Callithrix jacchus: one gene and its partners. The protein of the gene in region 3 interacts with the protein of the main gene of each other region in a pairwise test. Links are inferred from orthologs where the notes say so. Each region holds a gene or a part of one and is shown on either strand. Other genes may lie near its edges.

Region 1 (4,458 bases), on a different chromosome or scaffold from region 3:
CTGGCCTTGAACTCCTAACCTCAGGTGATCTGCCCGCCCAAGTGCTGGGATTACAGACCTAAGCCACTGAGCCTGGCCGAGTAATTCAGCTTTAAAGAAAAAAAGTAAAAAGGAAAGGAGGAAAAAAGTGAAAAAGGAAGGGTAAATCCTTATCTTTAAGATTCCATAGGTTATTAATGGAGAGTGGGGACCTACAGAGATCCTCTCCATTCACAACTCAAAAAGGGAGAACAAGCAGAAACAGCAAGAAAGAAGAAGCCAAGTCCAAAGATGCAGGCTGAGATCACTATTATTAAGCACTGGGAACTAAAGGAGATGAAAAGGTCTCTTTCCTTAGAGACTAAGGAGACCCGAGAGAGATTAGACAAATCTGCTTGAAAACTAGAGCTGGATTACTTAATTCAAGAAAGAAATGGAACCCACTGTAAAGTACCTAAATGAAAGGAACTTAACGGTTATTTAAAATTCCAGTCAATGCAAACTTTGATCAACAGTTCTTCTTGACCCCCTGTAGCTTACCCTTCCCTTTTTCTCAACATCCTGCAGCTATGTATGTACTTGTAGAGGAGGTAAGGACAGAAGAATATGCTTTGAACAGATTGCCCCTAACCTCATTATGTAGAGTTTCCTATGAAAAAGAATTCAGTGTAGTTTCAAAAGCAAAGTCCAGGGTTACCTGACCAAGTTAGCAGGAATCTGTGAATGAAGAATATGCTTTGAACAGATTGCCCCTAACCTCATTACACTGGTTTCCCATAACAAAGAATCAGTGTGGTTTTAAAAGCAAAGTCCAGGGTTACCTGACCAAGTTAACCGGATCTGTGAATGCAGCATATTAGGCATAGATTAAAGTAGAAGAATAAGAAAGAGGCAGCCTGAAACAGACTTCACTGAGGAAGCAGAGACAAAGAACTAAGGGAAGAGAAATGTGACAGAGAGACTTTCTTTTTTGAGACGCAGTCTGGCTGTTGCCAGGCTGGAGTGCAGTGGCAAGATCTCGGCTCACTGCAACCTCCACCTCCCGCGTTCAAGTGATTCTCCTGCCTCAGCCTCTCCAGTAGGTGGGATTACAGGCACCCGCCACCATGGCCAGCTAATTTTTGTACTTTTAGTAAAGACGGGGTTTCACCATGTTGACCAGGATGGTCTCGATCTCTTGACCTCATGATCTGCCCACCTAGGCCTCCCAAAGTCCTGGAATTAAAAGCGTGGAATTACACCGTGCCTGGCCCAACAGACGTTCACATATTATACCCACTACACATAGACCCATTGTTAAAAGGGCTCCCCAAGTATTATCTTCCTCATGATCTAAAAAGCTTCTAAAGAAACCAATTCCCTAGAATCTATCCTAGTCTGTTAATTGGGTTTGGGGGGAGGTTTTTTATTTTTATTTTTTTAGAGACAGGGTCTGGCTCTGTCATGCCAGGCTGGAGTGCAGTGGCACAACCATAGTTCACTGCAGCCTCAAACTCCTGGGCTCAAACGATTCTCCTGCCTCAGCCTCTCATAGTGCTGGGATTACAGGCATGAGCCATCGCCCTCAACCTAGTACTTGATTAAAAATACTTGCTGGCCGGGCGTGGTGGCTCACGCCTGTAATCCCAGCACTTTGGGAGGCTGAGGCGGGCAAATTATGACATCAGAAGATTGAGACCATCCTGGCCAACATGGTGAAACCCCGTCTCTACTAAAAAACAAAAAATTATCCAGGTGTGGTGGTACCTGCCTGTAGTCCCATCTACTCGGGAGGCTGAGGCAAGGGAATTGCCTGAACCCAGGATGCAGAGATTGCAGTGAGCTGAGACTGCACCACTGCACTCCAGCCTTGCAGTGGCTCACGCCTGGAATCCTAGCACTCTGGAGGCGGAGGCAGATTGCCTGAGCTCATGAGTTCGAGACCAGCCTTGGCAACAAGGTGAAACCCCGTCTCTACTAAAACACAAAAAAATTAGCTGGGCGTGGAGGCATGCGCCTCTAGACCCAGCTACTTGGGAAGCTGAGGCAGAACTGCTTGAAACCAGGAAGTGGAGGCTTCAGTGAGCTGAGATAGCGCCACTGCCTTCAAGCCTGGGAGACAGAGCAAGACTCGGTCTCAAAAAAAAAAAAAAGGAATTCCTAAGGTCTAAATGGGGAGAGAAAAGGAGAACAGAATAAGGAGTCTAGAATAAATATTCCACAATCCATAGTAATCCATACTAACTTTATCAGGTATCCCAGAGCTTCGATGGAATACTGATTCTTTATCATGACAAACCTATATAGTAAGGATTACCAGGAAACCGAAAAGAAGTTTCCTGAAGGAATGTGGCAGGGAATCAGCAATGGAGAGTATGCACAGTCAAACTTGGAAAACCATCAGGAGGAGCCTGTAATGACAAAACATTTGTATTCTTTTCTTACAACACGGTGCGAGTTTGGTGGTTTGGGTAAATTCAAATCAGGATATCATCCACAATGCTAAAAAATAAGGGGCAACCTGAAGGGTCCTAATCTAGTACGCTTATAGCCTATGCATCCTAAGGAGTCCATGTGCTGCCCTTAACTTTCCACCGACTCTATACCCTCTCCCCGGCAAAGCTTCCTACTCTAAACTAAGGCTTTAGCTCCTATAGTAGGCCACACACTTATTTCAGGGGCCAGCAGAACTTTCAGTCCCCAAGAATTACCCGGAACTCTCCTTCCCCGTCTCCCACTCGGGATGAACCCTGACTCCCGGTCCCTGTGGACACCACAGCATCTCTGCTGCCCCTCCAGCTCCTACCAAAATCAGCGCCTCCATCTTGCCCCGCAGCTGGTGCCGACGTGGAGCCACAAAAGCAACGCCGCCGCTGATTGGCCATACGTCCCCATTAGGCCCCGCCTAGAACAAGGATCATTGGGTAAAGCTAAGCCAGGCATCTCTCTATTGACCAATTACGTAATAGTTTGCTTAGCGGAAGCAAATTGTCCAACCAGAAGGCGCAAATTTTTGATTGACAGCCTCAATACTCAATAAAATGGCAAAACCTCACGACTGATTGGGGAGGGAGGGTCAGTGGGGCGGGGTTGTTTCCATGGGGAACAGAGGAAGCGATTGTTAATTTTCAATTGGTAAGGCCGAGGACACGTGATATTGTCGGCCTGATTTAGCGACTTTTAATCGCACTCTCTTTAGGGGGCGCTGTATCTCCTTAGCCTTTAACACTGGCGCTTCCTAACTGGAATCTTGCCCTAATCCCTATTTTCAGCGCCCCCATTAGGTGCATGATCTGTGTGGCTAGCCTTTCCCTCAGGCTCGCTCAGGTCACTTCAGCATCCTCACAGAGTCTGCACAACCATAGAATATAGCCAAAAAAGGCCCAACATGTTATCTACATAAACCAAGGCTGTCAGGAGTTGATAGGCGCAATGATAAGCTCCCTAAGGTGGAATTCCAGGCTTTGCTGGGCCTGAGGAACATAAGAAGTCGGAGTTTGTAAAAGCCAACTTTGGCCCAGAGTGAAATCAGATGTTACACCTTTGGAGATGGGGTTTGGGGGCAAAGGGGAAACGGGATTAGAATAAGGGAGGGTAGGTGGGGCAAGACTCCGTCTTAAAAAAAAAAGGCCATGCACGGTGGCTCAAGCCTGTAATCCCAGCACTTTAGGAGGCCGAGGCGGGTGGATCACGAGGTCAAGAGACCGAGACCATCCTGGTCAACATGGTGAAACCCCGTCTCTACTAAAAATACAAAAAATTAGCTGGGCATGGTGGCACATGCCTGTAATCCCAGCTACTCAGGAGGCTGAGGCAAGAGAATTGCCTGAACCCAGGAGGCGGAGGTTGCGGTGAGCCGAGATCGCCATTGCACTTCAGCCTGTGTAACAAGAGCGAAACTCCGTCTCAAAAAAAAAAAAAAAAAAAAAAAAAAAATTAAATTAAATTAAAATTAGCTGGGCGTGGTGGCGTGCTCCTGTAGTCCTAGCTACTCCGGAGGCTGAGGCAAGGGAATCGCTTGAACCAGGAGGCGGAAGTTACAGTGAGCCGAGATCAAAGCACTGCCCTCCAGCCTGGAGACAGGGCAAGACTCGGTCTCAAAAAAAAAAAGAATAAGGGAGAGTATAGGAATAGGCTCTGCGATTTTCTTTCCTTTTTTTTTTTTTTCTTTTTTTTTTAATAAAGATGGGGGTTTCATCACATTGGTCAGGCTGGTCTTGAACTCCCGACCTCAGGTGATCCGCCCGCCTTGGCCTCCAAAGCGCTTGGATTACAGGCGTGAGCCACCACGCCCGGCTGGGTCTGTGATTTTCAAGTAGAAACAAGCACTTGTGGCCAGGTGCAGTGGTTCATGCCTATAATCTTAGCACTTTGGGAGGCGGGGACAGGCAGATCACCTGCGGTCGGGAGTTGAAGACCAGCCTGACCAACATGAAGAAACCCTGTCTCTACTAAAAAAAAAAATACAAAATTAAAGAAAAAAAAATTAACCGTTTGTGA
Region 2 (4,215 bases), on a different chromosome or scaffold from region 3:
ACTACTTCTTCCAAAACAAATTCTAAGCAAAGAAAGTCCCAAAAAGTAGGATATTGAGGCCTACTTTTGGAGTCTCCTCCTGGTTTCTTAAAGGATCTTGTACATTCAGCAGATGTTTGGCATGCTAAGGACTGGTGTGATCTCTAGGGCACACTAATTCTACAGCACCCTGAGTCTATAGCAAAAGCAGGAGTCTTTTTTTAAACAATAATAACAACAGCTACTTTATTTTCCCCATTACACAGATGGGGAAAGTGGGACATCAAGAAGCCAGGTAATGGCCAGGTGCGGTGGCTCACGCCTGTTAAACCCAGCACTTTGGGAGGCCAAGGTGAGTGGATCTCAAGGTCAAGAGATTGAGACCATCCTGGCCAACATGGTGAAACCTCGTCTCTACTAAAAATACAAAAATTAGCTGGCTGTGGTGGTGCACACCTGTGGTCCCAGCTACTTGGGAGGCTGAGGCAGGAGAATCGCTTGAACCCAGAAGGCAGAGGTCGCAGTGAGCCAAGATTGTACCGCTGCACTCCAGCCTGGCGACAGAGTGAGACTCTGTCTCTAAAAAATAAAAAGAAGTCAGGTAACTTCCCCAACATCTCACAGTTGTGAGGCCAAAGCTGGATTTCAGCACTAAGGATGGTCTGACTGCAGACAGGGTGATAGTGAAGATTAAATATCTAAGAAATAATTCCTGGCACATATCCCATAACTAAATTAACATTTTTTATTTGGGAATGGTGAGCCTCTCTCTCTGACTCAGTTTCTTAATCTGTAGGGAGCGAGAACCTTTGGCCTTGCTGATCCACCTCTGACCATCTGCTAGGGCAAGGTATGGTCAGCTCAGTTTTCAGTTTTCTGGATGTGGATTTTGCCACTTAGTACTCAATCTGCAAGCAGATTAGCAGTCTCCCTGCTGGCCGCTGCTGTGGTGAAAAAGCTTATTTGAATATCATAAAAACAAATAAGTTTCAGCTCCAAACAAACAAACAGAAAATCTATTTTTTGAAATGAGGTCTCACTCTGTCACCCAGACTGGAGTCCAGTAGCTCGATCATGGCTCACTGCAGCCTCAACCTCTCAGGCTCAGGTGATCCTCCCACTTCAGCCTCCCAAGTTGCTGGAACTACAGGCACATACCACCACACCTGGCTAATTTTTTTTTTTTTTTTTGTAGAGATGGGGTTTTACCATGTTGCCCAGGCTGGTCTGGCACTCCCGGGCTCAAGCGATCCACCTGCCTGAGTCTCCCAAAGTGCTGGGAGGATCAGCCACTGAAGCTGGCCTTAAATGCACGTCATAGCTAATGCAGATGCTACAGCTCCACAATAATTAATTGTGTAAACAGTAAAAATTTATTTTTGGATTATTTTAGTTTGGTTTGCTCAGGCCATGTTTGCTAGGATAGATGCCAGATAATTGAATGGGAGGTACAGTGAAAACCACCTTGAGCTTCATGTCAAGAAACCTGAGTTTGCCCGTGAAACCTGTAAAATGGGAGAAGTGAAAAAATTAAGTAATAAGTAAAACCTGAGTTTGGATCTGTTAGGATATTAATTCTTGTGACCTCAGGCAACTCACTTAGCTTCTCTACACCTCATTTTCTTCATCTGTGAAATTAAAAGAGTTGGATTATACAGTCTCTAAAATCCCATCTGGTTCTAAATCCTTAGACTCCTTAGACTAAATCCTTAGTGTTTACCAAGCTGTAGAACAAAAGTGGAGGTTTTGAGGAGGTTTAGAGACAAACCCCAAAGAACAAAAGAGTTTGTTTGGGGGTTTAGGGACTAAGACTCCTGAGTCAGAGGCTCAACACTCCACTAACCCATTAGGCAGAACTTTCCCAGGCCCAGGTCCAACTGGCCAGTAGCAGAATGATGAGAAAACAACACTTCAGGGAGCATGAGTAGAAACAGAGGAGACCCCTCACTTCAGGTAGCAGCACCTTGACAAGGCAGGAGGATGAGAAGGACCTCTGGAGGGGTCTAAGCTGAGCTGCCCTGAGTCAGAGATCACCGTGGAGTTTTCTCCTAAGACAGGAGTGTCAGCTGGGTGGGAACTGTGCCCCTCACGGGTGGGGTCAGATGTTACCTTGGCCAGCAGCCGGCGCCCATCATTATCTAGGATGAAAACAGCCTTGATGGTGTAGAGGGAAGGTTCCTGCAACTGACATCAGGGAGAGTTCTGTTTGGCTCCTGATGGATCGATCCATGGGCTGGCCTAGGATACATCCTCAGGCACCAGCAACCCCAGCCCTCAAGGTCCACAGCTCGTTCTACCCAACCCTGTGCCACATGGGCCAACGCAGGTGCCCACTCCCAGACAGATGTTCCACTGCAGGCCCTAGTGGGGGCTGTGCCCGTTGGGTGCAGAAGGTCCTTCCGGGCCCAAGTTCTGTCATGCACTGACTACTCCAGAGCCCGAGTCGGAGTGTATCACAGAACCTGGGCCGGGGGGGACAGCGGGCCGAGCCTCCTCCTTCCAGCTGATCCCTGGCCGGGCTGGACCTGCGCTCTCAGCGTGCTCCCAGGCCCTGGCCCGTGTGGGCTCCAGAAGCATGCCCATCACCCACCGGCGATGGGAGCCGAGTCTGGGACAGACAGACCACTCCTTACCCTCCCCGCGGAATCGCAACTCACCCGCCACCCCCGCTCCAAATGGACCCAAAACTTCAGCCCCGTCAGGACAGGCCTCCTCACCGCCGGGACGAACTTTTTCTCCCCGGGTCTGGGGCCGGTCAAGGGGTGACACAAAGTTCCCAGCCACTGGGCGCGAGTTCTGAGTTGGCTGCTCCCCGACCCTGCTCCGTCCCGGCCCAGCTCCCGCCGCCCGGGACCCCCGCGCCCGCCCGCTCCATACCCGAAGCCCCGAGGGCTCCCCAGCTTGAGCAGGCGGCGCTGGGTCCCCGGCCTGGGCCGCCGCGGCCCCCTCCCCCAGGTGCGGACGTGGCCAGGCCTCGGGCCGCTGCATTCCACTCGCCGCCTCGCACTGACAGCGCCGCCCGCCGCCTGCCCACTGCCGCCGCCCCGCCTCCACGCCCGCCCTACGGCCCCTTCTCACGCGTGGCCTTCCTTGCCTCGGGGCCCAGTCCTCAGGCTCGTTCTCCTTGCTCTCCCCTCCCGCCCTCACCCCCACCCTCCCCTTCCTCCACCTCTCCTCTCCCTCTCTCTTCCTTGGCTCCTTCCGTTACAGCCCTGAACTCTGCATCCTGAGAGTACCCCAAGACCAGCCGTCGTCCCGCTTCCTGCCTGCACTCCGGTCTGTGGCTTTGGTGTGCACCGGTGTCTATAGGCTGTCCTGGGTTCAGCAGCAAACACAAGCAAAGCCCACTTTTGTCTGTTGAGCCCTGGTAGGTACCATGGGAACAAATAGGTCACCCTTTGGATCTCAGGGACAGGGTCTGTCAGCGAGAGCAGATGAGGATAGTTCTGGGAACACCCCTCTGTGGAGAAGAAGCTTTCCCATTCGTCTCTCACTACTTGCAGAAGGGAACCAAAGTCCTGGAGACACCACCCCAGGCTCTCCTAAGACACAGATGTGGCACCGTCAGAAGCAAGCCAGACGCCCAACAGCACAAATGCTCCACCAATGACATCGGGTTTTGCAGCATGTTTTGGTTTCTTTGGTCTAAGTGTACCAAAGACAAGATCTCATTTCAGGGTATACTGGCCAGAGGGAAATTCACACCCGGGTGATATATATGTTACTGTTATGTATGCATTTACAGGTAACAAGACTGTGCATGCATTTTACATTTGACACTTTCACATATATTATCTAATATAGCCCACACCTGTGAGGTAGGCATGATGGACCCCCATTTTAAGGAAAGAGAGACTCAGAGGTTGTGTGACCTTTTCAAGACTGTACAGCTAGTTGACTGGGGATAGAACCCAGGTTTTTTACTCAAAATTTCTTCCCTATTCTCTTCAAGCCCTCTTATGTTGTGGACCACAGTTACTCACCGTAGATGGTTACAGAATGGGGCTTTCCTCACTGAATGCATCAAGCCTTCTCGACTTCAAGCCTCCGCTGAAATGTCATTACCAAAAGGTCCTCCTGACAGCCACCATATCTGACGTGATAGGTCTCTCCTGTCACATTCTCTATCTCAGAGATATAGAGATATCTTTGCACTTTCCTTCATTGCACTTTCTCAATGTCTAAATATTATTTTTACTAATTTTTTTGTTTGAGACAGTGTCTCTCTCTCTTGCC
Region 3 (3,710 bases):
CATGACCACGTTCAAGGTCTGGCTCCCGCCTTCTGTCTCTCCTAGTGAAAGCACCAGGTGTCTCACATTGCTTTCATCTTTGTACTGTTTGTTGTCCCTTTCTGTACTTGTATTTATGCTACTTGTTAGGGCTCTTGCCGAAGTGGGGGTGGGGGCAAGAACCACAGATACACTCCTGTGGTTTGTGAAGCATTGTATGGAGGGTTGTATACTTAGAGTACCTGGGCAGTTGTCACAGCCACTCTGTGTACTGGCTGCTACTGTGCTCATTTTAGAATTGAGAAGGCTAAAGGGCCTGCCCAGGGCCACACGGCCAGTATACCCAAAAGTCATACATCTGTACTCTGTTACTGTCCCCTGTCCTATAGTACCATGCACTAGGGCTCCTGTACCACGTGCGTAAGAATGACCGCTTGGCTGTCAATAAGATGATCAGCAAGGTTACCCGTCATGGCCTTAAGTCTCCCTTTGCCTACTGCATGATGATCCGGGTGGCCAGCAAGCAGCTGGAAGAGGAGGACGGCAGGTAATGGCTCTCGTCTCTCACCAGCTAGATGATGCCTCACTCACCCTACCATGCTGGGCCACCCCCAACCTTTACTTGTCACTCTGTGTTCTTTTGTAGCCGTGACAGCCCACTGTTTGATTTCATCGAGAGCTGCTTGCGCAACAAGCATGAGATGGTGGTGTATGAAGCCGCCTCGGCCATCGTCAATCTGCCAGGCTGCAGTGCCAAAGAGCTGGCCCCAGCTGTGTCAGGTCACCAGGCATTCCTTCCCCCAGCCTCACATGTTTATGCTTGCCAGGAACTAGGCCTGGGTCAGGGGCTAGGGGAAAGAAAGAAAATGCTCTCAAGCCACAGACTGGTGTTAAGGAGTCCATACCTAGGAAGCACCTGCCCAGACACTATGCTGGAGCCCCATATGTGTCACATTTTGGGGGTAGGCTGTTGGACCACTGAAGAGGGAGGCTGAGGTAAGGCTTGGGTCCACTCGAGCCTGTCAGGTTGGCTGGCCACAGGAGGAGGCCTGGTGGAGGAACTCGGGATCTATGAAACTGGTGCCTGTGAACTGGAGCTGAGCTTTTCCAGGTGAAGGAGAGAACAGTATAGAGGGTCTTTCTGAGCCTCTGGCTACAGCAGTGGAGCAGGGCAGCCTGTGTTAGAGCCTTGGCTCTGCCCCTTAGCAACTGGGCGAGCCTGGCAAGGCCACCCATCCTCTCCATGTTTCCCTTTCTTTTCTCAGATGTGGATGATAGGTCATGCCCATTACATAGGGGTTTATAGACAGAAAATGTGGGATCTAGACAAATTGCTCAGAAGGCAACATGTTTGTTGTTTGCTGTTTTGTTTTTTTTTTTTTTTTGAGATGGAGTCTCGCTCTGTTGCCTAGGCTGGAGTGCAGTGGCATGATCTTGGTTCACTTCAACTTCTGCCTCTTGGGTTCAAGTGATTCTCCTGCCTCAGCTTCCCAAGTAGCTGGGATTACGGGTGCCCGACACCATGCCCAGCTAAATTTTGTATTTTTAGTAGAGATGGGGTTTCACCATATTGGCCAGACTGGTCTCGAACCCATGACCTTGTGATCCACCTGCCTCAGCCTCTCAAAGTGCTGACTTCAGGTGATCCGCCCGCCTCGGCCTCCCAAAGTGCTGGGATTACAGGCGTGAGCCACTGCCCGGCCTTCATTCATTCTTAGTATATCCCCCATATTTCCAGAATAATGAAAGATGTAAATAAAGTAGGGTCTTCAAAATAAGCATTAAGAGGCCAGGTGCAGTGGTTCACACCTATAATCCCAGCACTTTGGGAGGCTGAGGTGGGTGGATCATGAGGTCAAGAGATTGAGACCATCCTGGTCAACATGGCGAAACCCTGTCTCTACTAAAAATACAAAAATTAGCTGGGCATGGTGGCATGCACACTGGTAGTCCCAGCTACTCAGGAGGCTGCGGCAGGAGAATTGCTTGAACCCATGAGGCGGAGGTTGTGGTGAGCCAAGATCACGCCATTGCACTCCAGCCTGGGTAACAAGTGAAACTCTGTCTCCAAAAAAAAAAAAAAAAAAAAAAAAAAAGCATTAAGAAAAAAAATTTTTTTAAGTGTTAGGGAATAAAAGCAAAGTTATGAAGAAAGGAACGTAGATATTCCAGAAAACACATCTTTACTCCTATGATTGAGTGCCAAATTTAGCTCTGAGCTTCCTGGCAGCCAGGGCAAGGGAGATATGGTACCCGAATGGCCCTCATGTAGTAAAAGGAAATCAACCATTTATTTAAGAGAGGACTTTGTTCTGCAATACTCAGTGCTGAGGGGGGACGTTCTGTTGGCTCCAGAAGACACAATAGGAGAGAGGAGTGGAATCTTCACAGAGGTTAAGGGCTCAGGCTGCAGTTGCCAGCAGTCTTGGAATTTAATTCTGGTTCTGCCACTTATGGGCTGCCAACCTAAATTCTATTTGCTTTCCCCTTTGTGCCTTAGTCTCCTTATCTGTAAAGTGGGGCTGCAAGCTATAGAAGTAAGGCATGTCCACCATGTAGCACAGCACCTGGCACATATCAGATGCCTAGTGAATAACAGCCCTCACGGGAACCCCTTGGTGCTCACAGACATTATGAATTCTGTCCATGGCTTAGGTGCCCAGGTTAAGGAGAGCTCTCTGTCTTGGATTGGGGTTGTGGTATCAGCAAGGAAATGAGCTGAGCAGAGGGCTTGAGTCAGAACAGCTGCCCCCAATTTTCCCAGCTGCCCAGAGTGAAGGCAACCTGACGTGTGGCATCCATCTCTCTACAGTGCTCCAGCTTTTCTGCAGCTCACCCAAGGCTGCTCTCCGTTATGCTGCTGTTCGCACCCTTAATAAGGTAAGAGTCCAGGTGCAGGGTTGGAGGAAGCTGTCTAATCCAACTGGAGGTATGTCCTTGCCTCTGACCTGGCTGGGAAAGATGTAGCTCTGGTCACGGTTACTTTCTTCTGGATGGTGAGATGATCTGACTGGACAAAACCATCAGATGAAGTGACAGCACTGAGATCCTGCCCTCTCTGTCACTGTCCTCCCAAAACAGGTTGCCATGAAGCATCCGTCAGCTGTGACAGCTTGCAATCTGGATCTGGAAAACCTGGTCACAGATTCAAACCGCAGCATTGCCACGTTGGCCATCACTACTCTCCTTAAGACAGGCAGCGAGAGCAGCATTGACCGCCTCATGAAACAGATCTCCTCCTTCATGTCAGAGATCTCGGATGAATTCAAGGTACCCGCTACCCCTGGGATACCCATGGACCCCAGAGTAAGGAGGGAGCTCTGTCCCTGCTCTCTGTGGCCACAGCCCTCCTTTCAGGACTTACCTGAGGGGTTGGTCAGCCTTGAGGACTCAGAGGAGGCCAGCACATTGCTCTGCAGAGGTTTGGTCTTCAGAGAAATGTGTGCAGTCTTGCCTCCAGGCCTTCATCTATATTGTCCCCTGGTACTGAAAGAACAGTAGTTTCCAGGCCAGTTAAGGATTCATTGATTTGTTGTCCAAGTATTTCTTGAGCACTTGCTGTCTGCTATGTAGAGTGATCAGAGGGGAACATAGCAGTGGACAAGGCAGGTGCCTGCCCTCCTGGAGTGACCTTTCTAGGGATGGGAGAGAAACAGTAAACAGGTAAAGAAAGGAGTAGACTGGATCATCTCAGACATGAGTACTGCAGTCAAGAGTATAGAACTACAGCA

The links.
Region 1: the proteins of COPG1 (region 3) and COPZ1 interact in a two-hybrid assay, tested with the Homo sapiens proteins (2 studies listed by BioGRID). The link is inferred for Callithrix jacchus from reciprocal best matches to the Homo sapiens genes COPG1 and COPZ1.
Region 2: the proteins of COPG1 (region 3) and COPZ2 interact in a two-hybrid assay, tested with the Homo sapiens proteins (2 studies listed by BioGRID). The link is inferred for Callithrix jacchus from reciprocal best matches to the Homo sapiens genes COPG1 and COPZ2.

Annotation. Positions count from the first base shown.
Region 1 is NC_133510.1:65,223,731-65,228,188, forward strand, and holds the start of COPZ1 (coatomer subunit zeta-1), read right to left. Parts: upstream 2,816-4,458; 5' UTR 2,783-2,815; coding exon 2,765-2,782; intron 1-2,764. UniProt on the Homo sapiens protein: The coatomer is a cytosolic protein complex that binds to dilysine motifs and reversibly associates with Golgi non-clathrin-coated vesicles, which further mediate biosynthetic protein transport from the ER, via the Golgi up to the trans Golgi network.
Region 2 is NC_133506.1:118,251,499-118,255,713, reverse strand, and holds the start of COPZ2 (coatomer subunit zeta-2), read right to left. Parts: upstream 2,988-4,215; 5' UTR 2,968-2,987; coding exon 2,857-2,967; intron 2,727-2,856; exon of another isoform or gene 2,637-2,726; intron 2,164-2,636; coding exon 2,089-2,163; intron 1-2,088. UniProt on the Homo sapiens protein: The coatomer is a cytosolic protein complex that binds to dilysine motifs and reversibly associates with Golgi non-clathrin-coated vesicles, which further mediate biosynthetic protein transport from the ER, via the Golgi up to the trans Golgi network.
Region 3 is NC_133516.1:72,865,678-72,869,387, reverse strand, and holds part of COPG1 (coatomer subunit gamma-1), read left to right. Parts: intron 1-368; coding exon 369-526; intron 527-625; coding exon 626-759; intron 760-2,791; coding exon 2,792-2,859; intron 2,860-3,060; coding exon 3,061-3,249; intron 3,250-3,710. UniProt on the Homo sapiens protein: The coatomer is a cytosolic protein complex that binds to dilysine motifs and reversibly associates with Golgi non-clathrin-coated vesicles, which further mediate biosynthetic protein transport from the ER, via the Golgi up to the trans Golgi network.